3 linked regions of the Sus scrofa genome follow. The protein of the gene in region 1 purifies or fractionates together with the protein of each later gene. This does not show direct contact. Links are inferred from orthologs where the notes say so. Each region holds a gene or a part of one and is shown in the gene's direction. Other genes may lie near its edges.

Region 1 (4,718 bases):
GGGTCACTTTGCTGTACAGCGGAAATTAACAGAACATTGTAAATCAACTATAATGAAATTTTTTTTTTATTTTCCCAATGTACAGCAAGAGGATCAAGTTATCCTTACATGTATACATTACAATTACATTTTTTTCCCCACCCTTTGTTCTGTTGCAACATGGGTGTCTGGACATAGTTCTCAATGCTATTCAGCAGGATCTCCTTGTAAATCTATTCTAAGTTGTGTCTGATAAGCCCAAGCTCCCAATCCCTCCCACTCCCTCCCCCTCCCATCAGGCAGCCACAAGTCTTTTCTCCAAGTCTATGATTTGAAATTTTTTTTAAAGTTCCCATCACAAGAAAAAAAAATTTTATACCTGTGCGTGGTGATGGATGTTAACTGCATTTATTGAGGTTATTTTGCAGTATATACAAATATCAAATTGTTGGACTGTACACCTGAAGCTAATATAATATTATGTCATTTGTACCTTAATTTTCTTTTCTTTTCTTTTTTTTCTTTTTTTTTTTTTTTTTGCTTTTTAGGGCCACATCTGCAGCATATGGACGTTCCCAGGCTAGGGGTCAAATCGGAGATGCAGTTGTTAGCCATAGCAATGGAGGATCCGAGCCTTGTCTGTGACCTATACCACAGCTCACAGCAATGCTGGATCCTTATCCATGAGCAGGGCCATGGATCAAACCCTCATCCTCATGGATACTGGTTGGGTTCATTATCACTGAGCCACAATGAGAACTCCTGTACCTTAATTTTCTTTCTTTCTTTCTTTCCTTTTTTTTTTTTTTTTTTTTTTTTTTATCTTTTTTAAGGCCATGACTGTGACATATGGAGGTTCCCAGGCTAGGGGTCACTTAATTTTCTTTTAAAAAAAAAAAAAGCTTTTATTAACAGTGACAAATATCATATAGTATCACTTATATGTGAAATCTAAAAAAAATAATACAGGAATTCCCATCATGGTGCAGTGGAAATGAATCCTACTAGGAACCATGAAGTTGCAGATTCAATCCCTGGCCTCACTCAGTGGATTAAGGATCCGGCATTGCCATGAGCTGTGATGTAGGTCACAGACTTGGCTCTGATTCCACGTTGCTGTGGCTGTGGTGTAGGCTGGCAGTTGTAGCTCTGATTCAACCCCTAGCCTGGGAACCTCCATATGCTGCGGGTGTGGCCCTAAAAAGCAAAAATTAATAAAAATTAAAAAATTTTTAAATAATACAAATGAACTTATTTGCAGAACAGAAACAGACCCACAGACTTTGAAAATAAACTTACAGTTATCAAAGGGGACAGGTGGGGTGAGTTGGGATGTGCTGGGGGTTTGGAATTGACATATGCACACTGTGGTATATTAAACAGCTGGCCAACAGAGACCTGCTATATAGCACAGTGAACTCTACCCAATATTCTGTGATAATCTATATGGGAAAAGAATCTGAAAAGAATGGATGTATGTATATGTATAACTGTATTGTTTTGTTGTATAGCAGAAATTTTCAAAACATTGTAGATCAACTACTATAAAACTTTTAAAAATGAAAAGGTGGCTTTCTAAATTAATGTATATTGGTAGTGTGAGTATATGTTAATGTGTATTGATGCAATTCAAATCATAGTTATAGAAAAAGAATTTTTTTTTTTGGTCTTTTTTTTTTTTTTTTAGGGCCACACCCATGGCATATGGAAGTTTCCAGGCTAGGGGTTGAATTGGAGTTGCAGCTGCCAACCTACACTGCAGCTTATGGCAACGCTGAATCCGTAACCCACTGAGCAAGACCAGGGATGGAACCCAAATCCTCATAGACCTTAGTCACGTTCTTAACCCACTGAGCAACAGCAGGAACTCAAAGGATTTTTAAAGTTTCTTCTGCTAGCATTTGTATTTTCTGTATTGTCATTCTTTTAGAATGTAATTTTTACCTTGTTCGATTATTTATGCTTGATTCTTTTTTGTGTTTTAGTCCTCAAGAGTAATTGAAACTTGTTTACTTTACTTTCTACAGAATATTTTGTGTTATTTCAACTAATGAGGCATTGAGTATGTAGTGGAAGGATACTGGCTTAGAGTGAGAAGACATGAGTTCTGGTTCTAGTTATAAGACTATTTTTCTCTAATTTATTAATGTCAGTCTTTCCATGAGCCTCGGTTTTCTATCCATAAAAGTACATAATGGAACTTCTGACCCAAACAAAATGGCATAAATTTGTCTTTCCTTCTCCCCTATTAAATACAATTCTAAAAATCAGAAGTAACAAAAGGACAATCAGGAAAATTCTAAAAGGTAGAAAGAAGAAGATCGGGTTCGGGACCCAGAACTGACAGAACAACCCAACAGCAGCTTGTCTTACAAGCCTTCAACAGAAGAAGGGGACCCAGGCATAGTGTTTCTTGACCTCCAACATAGCAAAGGAAGGTGCCTCATACAGGCTTGTTCCTCTCCTAGATCGAATGGGAGCCCTGCCAGCAGTACCAGGTGAGCCCAACAAGACTGCACGAAGGATTTAAACCTTACTGACAATAAATAGCCACTGAGGTAATATTTTCCCTCCTTTTCATGAGAAGGAGGTGGGTGTAGGGAAGGAGCCACATTACAACCACCTGGCCTAGGAAGCAGTCTTTATCTCCCTTCACCAGTGAAGGTACTCCAGGTGGCCTAGCCATTGAAAACTCCTCCCATCCTTTCAAGCAACACTGGCTAAGGGCCTACTAAATTCCCACCTCAAGAAATTAGAAAAAGAAGAAAAAAATAAACTAACTCAAAGCATGCAGAAGTAAGGAAAGAACAAAGAGTAGAGCAGAAATCAATGACATTAAGACGATGAAAACAAAGAAAAATGAATGAGACAAAAAGTTGATTATTTGAAAAAGTCAATAAAGTTGATAAACCTTTAATAAAGACTAATAAAAGTAAAAAGATGACATAGATTATCAATATCAGGAGTGGAATAGTGGATGTAGTTACCTGAAAAGTAGATTTGCCTCTTAGTTTGTGTCAAGCCAAAAGACATAACCAAGCTAAAGATCATGAGAAGGAAGGGTTTATTATTACTTGCAGCAAGTATAGGGAACATGGGATCTTTCACAAAACAGGGTCTCCCCAAGCAGCAAAGATGAGGGAGTTTCAAGTTAAGCATACATGCGTATTCATTAAGGAGCTTGGGTGGTCCACAGAATCCAAGTGTTAGTTGATTGAAGTTATAAGGGCCAGAAAATGTCAACATACTCCTCCCTTAGACTCCAGCTGATCTGGTGGTTGAACACTTCAGGCTAGTCTTTACCGTTGAAATAGAACTGGGAGCCTTTACAACCGCTACATTATCTTTGCTATCGTTACTTCTCCTACCTGATAATAATTTGTTTCTGCATTCTTTTGTTCCTTTAAGATCATTAATTACTGGGACCTGTTCAAGGGTAAGCATTGTGACCAGGCTTAGATCACAAAATGTCGTAGGCCAAAAATTGTTTCTCTTCTGTCAAGAAAGCCATGCCTGTTTCTCTTTCTCCAGGGAGCCCCTACCATATCTGCCTCCAATATCATCCACACATCCTCTGTAATAGGAGAATGCTATCAATAACTTTACACTCATACACGTGACCATTTAGAAGAAATGGACCAATTCCTTGAAGACAACAAACTACAAAACCAAGATAAAATAGATAACATAAATAAATAGTCCTATTGCCATGAAATAAATTGAATTCCTAATTTTAAAGTTTCCGAAAAAGAAATCCCCAGGCCCAGATGATTTTACTGGAGAATTCAAAGATTCTTTAATGCTAATTTTACAGTTTCTTCCAGAAAACAGAAAAGGGGAAACACTTCTCAACTTATTCTGTAAGACCAACGTTTACTTTAATACTCAAAACAAGAAAGTACAAAAAAGAAAACTACAAACCAGTATCTCTAATGAACTTTAAAAAAAAATCCTTAACCAGATAATAGCAAAGCCAACAATATATAGAAAAGAAATATAAATTATGAACAAATGGGCTTTATTCCAGCTCTGCAAAGGTGGTTCAGTATTAAAAATCAGTCAGTATATCTACCACATTATAAAGGAAAGGGTGAATGTTTTCCCTCTAATATTGAAAATAAAGCAAGGAAATCTATTCTCATTACTGCTATTCAACATAGCACTGAAAGTTCTAGCCAGTGTAATAAGGGGAAAAGAGAATAGGCCTACAGATTGGAAAAGAAGAAATAAAACTGTCTCTGTCCACAGATGACATGAATGTCTCTGTACAAACTCCTACAACTAATAAGTGAGTTTGGAAAGGTCTGGAGATACAAGATCAACACACAAAAATAAATCACACTTATACATACTTATAATGAACCTGTGGAAACCCCAAGTTAAAGGTAGTAACCGTTTATAAATTGTACAGGGAAAATTAAATACTTAGGTGTAAACATAACAAAACATGTACAGGTGTACTGAAAATTACAAAATACTGAATTTTAAAAAAATCAGAACCTAAATAAATGGAGAGATATACTACATTTGTGCATCAAAAGATTCAATGGGAGTTCCCGTCGTGGCGCAGTGGAAATGAATCTGACTAGGAACCATGAGATTGCAGGTTTGATCCCTAGCCTCACTCAATGGGTTAAGGATCCGGCATTGCCGTGAGCTGTAGTGTAGGTTGCAGATGCAGATCAGATCTGGCACTGCTGTGGCTGTGGCGTAGGCTGGTGGCTACAGCTCCGATTAGA
Region 2 (4,558 bases), on another chromosome or scaffold:
TTCTGGACAGTCCCTCTAGCCAACTCTATTATCAATCATAAAACACTTACCAAGCACTATAAAGCTGAAAAAAAAGGCTGGTAGGATACAGAGAAGTTTAATAGTATCCTGTGTTCTAAAAACCCACAATCTAGTGTGGTAGGTAGTACAGATGATGTTAAAGCTAGTCTTTCCAGGGAGTTTCCGCTGTGGTTCATTGGGTTACAAACCCAACTAGTATCCATGAGGATGCATGTTTGATCCCTGACCTCGCACAATGGGTTAAGGATCCAGCTCTGCCCATTATCTGTGGTGTAGGTCACAGATGCCGCTGAGATCCAATATTGCTGTGGCTGTGGTGTGGGCCTGCAGCTGTAGCTCTGACTACTACTAACCTGGGAACTTCTTGTATGCCACAGGTGGGGCCCTAAGAAGCAAAAACAAGCAAACAAAACCACGTTAGTGTTGCCAGACCTGGATTGGAGTTGACTCCGCTATTAGCTTACTGTACGACTTCTGGCAAGTAAAACTTTTGCTTCTCTAAACCTGTTTTCTCTCCTGTAAACTGGTGATAAAATATACAGTACCTATTCCTTAGAGTTAGTTTTGAGATTCAAATGAGGTAATTTAAGTAAAGAACAGTTGGTAGCACATAAGGGCTTGATAAATAGCCACAGTTCTTTTTGTGTCTGAACACAGTGCGGGGAGATGATGAGAGTGGGATTCTCATCAACACAAGAGCTAGCAAAGCATACTGCAATGTTGCAGAGCTGTTTCACTTTCTTCCTTTGAGACACAAGCCTCTTCCTCTGCTTCCTCCTCAGTATTAGGCACTTTTTTGCTGTCCCAAAGTCCCATGGATTTATACAGAACTTACTATACATTAAGCGTCCAATTTCAATGAGTAAGTCACTCCCTTCTTACTCCAACTACCACAGCTATTGAGCAGCGTTTCTCACCCGATTTAAAAAAAAAAAAGTGAGCCACACTTCATCAAATGTAATTTAAACGTGGACTGCTTTTCTTTCCGACTACAAAGAATGAACTCCTGCAATGTACTTTGAAATGTTAAAAAAAAAAAAAAAAAAGCCAATGGTAATAATGCTGTTACATTCGGCTTGAAAATACTACTTCCCCAAGGTCAGTGGCCGAGGAGGCACCCACTGGCCTGACTCTACCGGATTTTTTCACTCCCTGCCTCCCGCCCCTATCCCAACCCCACCCCTAGATTTAGCCGAGCTCTAGTAGTCTGACCAAAGCCTTCAGGGAGAGGCGGGGAGGTGAGAAACGAGAAGAGCGGGGAGGTGGGGCAGGTGCGGCTGAAACGGAACTTCATTGTTCGCGGGACCGACTCTTCCCGAAAGAGCCCGTTGGCAGCGCCTGCGCAGTGCTCGCTCTTTGTGCCCGGCTGCAGCAAGAGGGTTGTTTGTGTGTGTCTCTCGGAGGCGGTGGAGGAGGAGCCGGAGGGGCGTGGCCTTCCAGGTCGCATTCTTATTGGGCTCTCACAGGGAGGTGGGCGGGCACAGGGCGGAGTTTCTGATAACAACACTCCGAGCGGAGGCTGAGGGTATTTGTTGCTGCGCCGCCACCGCCCGAACCATGGTCCGCGCTTCTCACAGGCTTACCTAGCAGCAGCCTTCGCCGCCCTGTGATCTCTGGCCGCACTTCCTTCTTCTACTCCTGCTGAGCCGCTATGACCGTCGTTTCTGTCCCCCAGCGGGAGCCGCTTGTTCTGGGCAGCCGCCTGGCGCCCATGGGCTTTTCCGCCCGCGGTTACTTTGGGGCCCTCCCGATGGTGAGCACGGCTCCGCCGCCTTTACCCCGGATCCCGGACCCCAGGGCGCTGCCCCCCACCCTCTTTCTCCCTCACTTTTTAGGGGGAGACGGTCCCTGTCTGACCCCTCAGCCTCGCGCCCCAGCGCCTCTGCCCAACTGCAGCCTCGCCTCAACGGGGGGCACCCCTCGCGCAGCACCAAAGAAGCGGCGAAAGAAGAAGGTGCGGGCCAGCCCGTCGGGGCAGCTTCCCAGCCGCTTCCACCAGTACCAGCAGCACCGGCCGAGCCTGGAAGGCGTGCGGAGCCCCGCGACGGGCCACAGTGGAGAGCAGCAAGTCCCGGACCAGGCCGCCGCCTGGGCCTCGGCTCCTGCAACCGCAACCCGAACTGAAGAAGCGAGCCTTTTCCTTGGCCCGCGGCCGCCCGCGGCGCCCGGCCAGCCCTCGTTCAGAAGAGAGGTGAGGGCCGCGAGGGGAACGTGGGGACCGTTGGCACTCCGGCCCCAAGACGGCCGGACCCGGGACCGGAGGCTTGGGGCCCTGCGCTGAGTGGCCGGGAAGGAGGGGCCGGGGTGAGGGGCGAGGGCGGCTGTTTACTCGGGAGGGAAGTTTCCGTGACGCCCGCTCTGTTCTTGCTGGGGGGGAGAAGGGGGAGGGGGAGGCCTGCGCTGGCGCTGCTGATTGGCTGCGAGGAGCCGGCCAATGACAAGAGCCGCTGCGCCCCGGCAACAGCCCGGATTTAGAAAGCTGGCGGCGTTCCAGGGGGTTTCGGCGTTCGGGGCGCGAGGGGGAGCGAGACGGCCCGCGGGAGGCTGACGTCAGCGCGCGCTACGTGCGGAGCGCTCCGGCGCTCATGAAGGAGGCGAGCGGGTGAGGGGTGTGGGCCTGCCAGCGGCTTCCCGACAGATGGTATTGCCAAGGCGAGGGGGGACGCGCGTAGACCCTCCCGGCGTGGGGCTCCTTGGGGGCCGCCCGCCCCCGGTTGGTCTTATGCAGAGTTGTGAGGTGCCCCATGGGTGGCGCTGCTCCTCGTCGGGCCGACCTACTTGGCTGTACTTTTCAACTTTGAAAGTTGGCAGGTGCGACGGCAGAGTTGTTCCCTCTTTGAAGCGATCAGTTCTGTGTGCTAGCCTATCAGATGAGCGGAATTTATTTAACCATTCCACTGTGTACTGTACTGGGATTTTTTCAGTGGAAGGTAGTTTTATTACCTGTGTCCAGAACGATGAACTTTTCGAAAGAAAAGTTACCAGTTGAACGGACGTTGTACTGCCCACTTGCTATTAGACTAGAATAAAATTGATTATAATTTACGGTAAGAAATCGCTGAAATGACTTGAAGTAACCTTTAAATTAAAACTTTCATAATAGTGAAAATAAGTTACTGACAGTGGTTGAAGGAATATCGTTCTGAGATTTGCAGCTTATCTAGTTGCGATCTTAGAAAAAACTAAACTTATCCACGGTGATTCCTTAAATTATTATAGGTTCCTTTCAGTTCCAGGGTTTTTCTGAAATATTTGTGATAATCTAAAAGGGAGTTTTTGTACTTGTTTACTAGTTAAGATTTCTTTTTCAGAACAGTGTTAAAACCAGGGAGTTCTGTCAGCACTTACCCTTGTTAACGTGGATGTTACCTTGTGCTTCGCTTTCTGTAGTTGTGTCCTGCTTCCCTACCGCAATATAAGTGTTGAAAGGGCAGTGATCTAATAGATTACCTTATTTTTCCATCCCATCCCCTCATAGCTTCCCATAAGGATCGCTTGAGTTAGAAAAGTCGTTGGAATTAATGCAGTAAAGTTGTTAAAGCAGTTGTTAAATTAGAAAGGAGGGGGCAAGCAGAAACTGTTTTCTTCTATGTATTATGTGTATAACTGGACAAGATGATAAAAGGTGGTATTTTAGTATTTATATTTCCGAAAAAAATTTTTTCAGAAACTGGGAGATAATTTTTGTGTATGTACTTAGTAACCATTATCAAAATACTTCCTCACTAGCTCTTGCTAATCAAATTTTTATTCTGAAATCATCTTTAGTACCGATCTTAAAAGGTGAATTGTGTCTCTATTATAGTTTTTCATCAACCAAAGCATTTGAAAATTTTTCCCTTGGCAACATCCTACTGTAAAAATGCTGATATTTGTTTAGGAAGAGGTCAGCATACATGTTTGAAAGATTACTTCTCTGTATAGAAAGGTGGACTTGGTTACTTTGGGGTTTTTTTGTCTTTAACATTTTAGAATCAGCTCTTACACTGCATACTGGTAACGATGATGAACTATTTTTAGTGGTAAAACTAGATACCTGCATATTTGGACATCCAATGATAAGTGCCACAAGCACATTTAATCAAGACATTGAACTAAAGTCCAGGGGGATTTTTTTAAAGAAAATATATTAGATAAATGGTGAGGTTCATGTCTGATTTTATCATGAGACTATATTCACTTTTATATTCCTTGTCTTTGTAGGTTTTAAAATCAAAGATGGGAAAATCGGAGAAAATTGCCATTCCCCACGGCCAGCTTGTTCATGGTATACACTTGTGTGAACAACCAAAGATAAACAGACAGAAAAGCAAATATAACTTACCACTAACCAAGATCACCTCTGCAAAAAGAAATGAAAATAACTTTTGGCAGGATTCTGTTTCATCTGATATAATTCAGAAGCAGGAAAAAAAGCCTTTAAAAAATTCTGAGAACATTAAACATAAGCATTTGAAGAAATCAGCATTTCTAACTGAAATGAGTCAAAAGGAAAATTATGCTGGGGCAAAATTTAGTGATCCACCTTCTCCTAGTG
Region 3 (4,585 bases), on another chromosome or scaffold:
ATATAATCATAAACTCATTCTTTAATTTGCATACTTAGTAACTGTAGAGATTGTTGTAACTTGTTTGGAGCTGTATGCAAACTGTTTTGCAACTACTACAAGTTAATGAGACGGAGTTCCCATTGTGGCTCAGCAGTAATGAAACCAACTAGTATCCATGAAAACTCAGGTTCGATCCTTGATCAGTGGGTTAACGATCTGGTGGTGCGATGAGCTGTGGTGTAGGTCACAGACGTGGCTGGGACCCAGAGTTGCTGTCGCATAGGCCAGCAGCTACAGCTCTGATTCGACCCCTAGCCTGGGAACTTCCACATGCCATGGTGCCGCCCTAAAAAGCAAAACAAGACAGATCACAGGACTGAAACAATTTATTAAAATTTGCTTGAGGAATAATCCACGAATGAGAGTCTGGAAAAGACAGGACAGCTATAGAGGACTAAACTTCTCTTCAGGATGGTGACTAGGAATAAGGTAGGTCGTCTAAATAAAAACCAAAGAAAACTGTCTAACAAGAAAAAAACAAGTTTTTGGTCCTTCTGGAAAAGTCAAGCCTTGTCTGGCAGTAGTCTCTACTATCATAATCTGAAAATCTAAAGACCCTCAACGGTAAAAGAAGACTGCAAAAGGCGACGCAGCATAAAGCCTATGCTTAGTGCTAATTAAGTCCAATTACTGTTGTATTCGTATTTTCGTTTCTCGATGCATCCCTTCCTTAAGAATTCTCATCCATCCACCAGTAACCACCTGGGACTCGAAATCCCGCAGGTGGGAGATGATGGGCCCGGGAGGCGGCAACTTTCATGTTTGGGCCTCAGCAGCCGCATCCCTGAAAAGCAGAAATGGATTCGACAGCTTGCCGGAGGACTGGTGCAGGCTGTAAGAGATAGGATACAGGTAGGAGGCGGGCAAACAGCGTGTCACAAGGCTCCTCCCTCCTGCAAAGGACGCTAACGCCGCACGTCCAGAACAGCACTAAAAAGACACCGCCCCCTGGCCCGGACTCATTCTAGGACCTGCCTCCAAAAAGCATCCTCCCGGCAGGAAGAGTCTCACCCCAGACTTCACTCGGAGGAGCCGAACTACTCACTGTCGATGTCCTCGATGAGGCTAGCGGTGCCGGGCATATAGTTCATTTTGAGTTGAAATGAGGCGCAACGTATAGCGGTGGTGGGCCAACTCGTCCAACACTTCCTTCTTCCTACCGCAGTCGCCGCCTCGGCGGCACCGGGACAAGAACCCGGACCCAGAGTAGCACCTCCGGCCCGGCTTTCAGCCGCCGGGGCCTGCCGGAAACGTCGCCATATTACTCCCACCCACTTCCGGCATCACGTGCCGGTGCTCAGGAAGAGGCGGGACCGTAGTGAGGTCCCGAGGCACCCTTTCCACGTCCTTGACAAGAGGGGAAGAGAAACCTAGATTGGATACGTAGTGGGGAAATGCGTTCTCCCTTTTAAGGTACACGGTGGCGCCCCTTGCTGTCCTGCTTCCTAGACCCCAGAGTCACCGACCTCAGTCCTTCAACTCTCAAGAATCTGAGGCCGAGGGGGCGGGACCCGGCCTGGGATTGGCTGTTGCTGGCCGACCCCCTTCCCTGCGGTCCACTTGCGTTCTCCGGCTGGCGTCTGCGCAATGGACCGGCCGTGGGGGGCGGGAAGCACTTGGGGGCAGTGGAGCCCATGTCGGCCTTGAGGCGCTCGGGCTACGGCCCCGGTGACGGTCCGTCTTATGGCCGCTACTACGGGCCTGGGGGTGGAGATGTGCCCGTGCACCCCCCTCCGCCCATATATCCTCCCCGCCCCGAACCTCCCCAGCCTCCTGTTTCTTGGCGGGTACGCGGGGGCGGCCAGGCTGAGACCACCTGGCCGGGAGAAGGGGGAGGAGGAGATGGCTACTATCCCTCTGGAGGCGTCTGGTCGGAGCCAGGTCGAGCTGGAGGAAGCCACCAGGTAAGCTTTGCGCTGTCTGTCCCGGGGTGGGGTAGGGGACGGCAATAGGGGAGTCTTTGGAGGTGAGGGTTATTGGGTTTGATACACCTCCAAGAGTTCGTAATGAATTGGGTTTCATGTGTTTTCCTTATGGGGGGGTGGAGAGACAGAAACTAGGATCGTAGGTGGGGGCTATGCTTGTTTTCTCTTTGCCTCTTTTTTACTTCAACCATAGTAAATGTCTTAGCATGAAAAAGGGGAAAAAGATCCTGCGCTGACCTGCTGAGCTGAGTAGCGGGCTGCGAATCTCGCCTGGGAACGGTGTTGGGCTGGAGGGATCCGGGTCTGCTTTTCGAGTCCTGACAATTTATCCTGCGTGGCTCATCAGGTCGGCCCTCCCCAAGAAGGGAGGTGGCTGCAGCACCCTCCGTCCCTTAGCAACCCCTCCCCCTGGGAAGGAACGTGAAGGAAGGGGAGGGATCTGGGCGTTTAGCTCTTTGCCCTTTTAACGCTTTGCCCGACATTGAATCACGCATAATCAATGTTGGAAAGCAGCTTTCCGTGGATTGTTTTATTTCATCTTAAGGGTGACTGCCGCGTAAATGTCATCACATCTTCTCTGTTTTACGATGAAAGAACCGTTGACCGTGAAGGGTTAACTCACTCAGTATATTTGAACCTATAATGTCTTGTTCCTTGTAGTCGTGCGGAAATACAGTTGTTTTGTTATGCAGTATGCTTCGCAGAGAATTAATCGTTATCTGGTGGGGGCACTCCTATCCTTTTCTTCAGGAAATGTAACATCCTCATTGGTTGAAAATGTAATAATGAAATTCCCATACATTGCTGGTGGGAACATAAAATGGTTCAGTGCTTTGGAAAACAGTTTGGAAGTCCCTCAAAACGTTAAGCATACTGTTGGGATCTTACTCAGCAAGTCTGCTCCTTGTTATACACCCAAGAGAACTAAAAACATGTCCACGTATAAACTTGTACACGTGAGATTCATAGTAGCATTATTCATAATAGCCAAAAGGGAAAATATTCCAAATGCCCATCAACTGATGGATAGATAAAATCTGACATATTCATACAATGAATGGGAAGAAATGGGAAGAAATGAAGTACCTTCTACAACATGGATGAACCTTGAAAATATGCTACATGAACGAAGACAAACATTAAACATTGTGTGATTCCATTTATATGAAATATCCAGAATGGGCAAGTCTGTACAAATATATGTCATTGTCAGGGGTTGGAGGCCTGGAGACATTGGGGAAGATAGTTAAAGGGTATGGGGTTTCTTTTGGGGATGATGAAAATATTTTGGAATTAGATTGTAAATGAAGATTGCACAGCTCTGAATATTAAAAAAAAACATTGAATTGTACACTTTAAAAGGCTGGGTTTGATGTCATGTTATTTCTTTTAAAAAGTTGTATCATAAAAAAAAACGTAGTGAGAGGTTAATTACAAAGAAAGGCCCATAATTTCTCTATCTGAATCTAGAATAAGCAGCCTGAGGGAACTTCAGTCCCGACAGAGGAGAGTGAGGAAATGCTTGGCTAATAGGTATGCAGACTAGACCTAGGCTCACTTGTGGGGGAGGAGGAGAGAACCACTAAGCTGATGATTCCACCTGGGCTTGCTGTGTAGTCAAAACAAAGGTTTTTTTTGGGTTAAGGTTAGAGAAGTTAAGATCTTAGTACTGGGCAGGGAGTTTAAAGGGAGAACAGGTGTGCACACAGGCTAGGTAATGCTGGAGCGGTCAGGAATACGGCCGGAATGTGATTGGGCATTTGTCAACCGTTGCAGGAGTTTATCTTTCAGGTTGATGTTTCTGAAACTTGAAAAGTATAGGATGATGATTTCTTTCTTTGTTTTTCTCAAATGGCTGCACTTGCAGCATATGGAAGTTCCCAGGCTAGAGGTCAAAATTGAGCTTCAGCTGCCAGTCTACACCACAGCCACAGCAACATCAGATCCTTAACTCATTGAGCAAGGCTAGGGATCAAACCTGCATCCTCATAGATACTAGTCAGGTTCTTAACACTCTGAGCCCGGAAGACATCTTACTCTTCAAAAAGTGTAGTCCATGTACCAGAAGCTTCAGTGTTGATCTGAGGCAGTTAGAAATGCAGAATCTCTCCTGCTCCATACTTCCTGCTGCTCCAGTTTAATAAGATCCTCAGGTGATTCATATGCACGTTTGTGGCTGAGAAGCATTGCTTCACAGAATTGGATATATTGAGATGATATTGCAGTGAATAACTGCAAAGACTTGACTCTATATTAATGTATTTAAATATGGCAGGAGTGAAAAAGAGAAAATCTCTGTTTTCTTTCTCTTACATTGTTAGCTATACTTGCAGCACTGTAGTTTGATTCTTGAACCAGCAGTATGTGCACCACCAAGGAGCTTCTCGGAAATGCTGTAGTTCAGGCCTTGCCCCAGACTTGCAGAATCAAAATGTTTACTTTTTTAATGGCTGCAACTGCAGCATATGGAGGTTCCAGGCTAGGGGTCAAATTGGAGCTACAGCTGCTGGCCTGTGCCACAGCCATGCCAGATCCAAGCCATGTCTGTGACCTACACCATAGCTCATGGCAACACCAGATCCTTAACCCACTGAGTGAGGCCAGGGATCAAACCTGTG

Evidence for each region.
Region 2: the proteins of DCP1A (region 1) and PNRC1 purify together in Homo sapiens (affinity purification with mass spectrometry; 3 studies listed by BioGRID and IntAct, with this or other methods). This does not show direct contact. The link is inferred for Sus scrofa from reciprocal best matches to the Homo sapiens genes DCP1A and PNRC1.
Region 3: the proteins of DCP1A (region 1) and BAG4 purify together in Homo sapiens (affinity purification with mass spectrometry; 4 studies listed by BioGRID and IntAct, counting the BioPlex papers as one, with this or other methods). This does not show direct contact. The link is inferred for Sus scrofa from reciprocal best matches to the Homo sapiens genes DCP1A and BAG4.

What each region holds. Positions count from the first base shown.
Region 1 is NC_010455.5:35,422,943-35,427,660, reverse strand, and holds the start of DCP1A (mRNA-decapping enzyme 1A), read left to right. Parts: upstream 1-1,815; 5' UTR 1,816-2,452; coding exon 2,453-2,477; intron 2,478-4,718. UniProt on the Homo sapiens protein: Necessary for the degradation of mRNAs, both in normal mRNA turnover and in nonsense-mediated mRNA decay. Removes the 7-methyl guanine cap structure from mRNA molecules, yielding a 5'-phosphorylated mRNA fragment and 7m-GDP.
Region 2 is NC_010443.5:57,126,756-57,131,313, forward strand, and holds the start of PNRC1 (proline-rich nuclear receptor coactivator 1), read left to right. Parts: upstream 1-1,344; 5' UTR 1,345-1,672; coding exon 1,673-2,212; intron 2,213-4,224; coding exon 4,225-4,558. UniProt on the Homo sapiens protein: Nuclear receptor coactivator. May play a role in signal transduction.
Region 3 is NC_010457.5:48,345,597-48,350,181, reverse strand, and holds the start of BAG4 (BAG family molecular chaperone regulator 4), read left to right. Parts: upstream 1-1,371; 5' UTR 1,372-1,676; coding exon 1,677-1,946; intron 1,947-4,585. Other genes in the region: U6 snRNA-associated Sm-like protein LSm1, read right to left, coding at 1,088-1,133. UniProt on the Homo sapiens protein: Inhibits the chaperone activity of HSP70/HSC70 by promoting substrate release. Prevents constitutive TNFRSF1A signaling. Negative regulator of PRKN translocation to damaged mitochondria.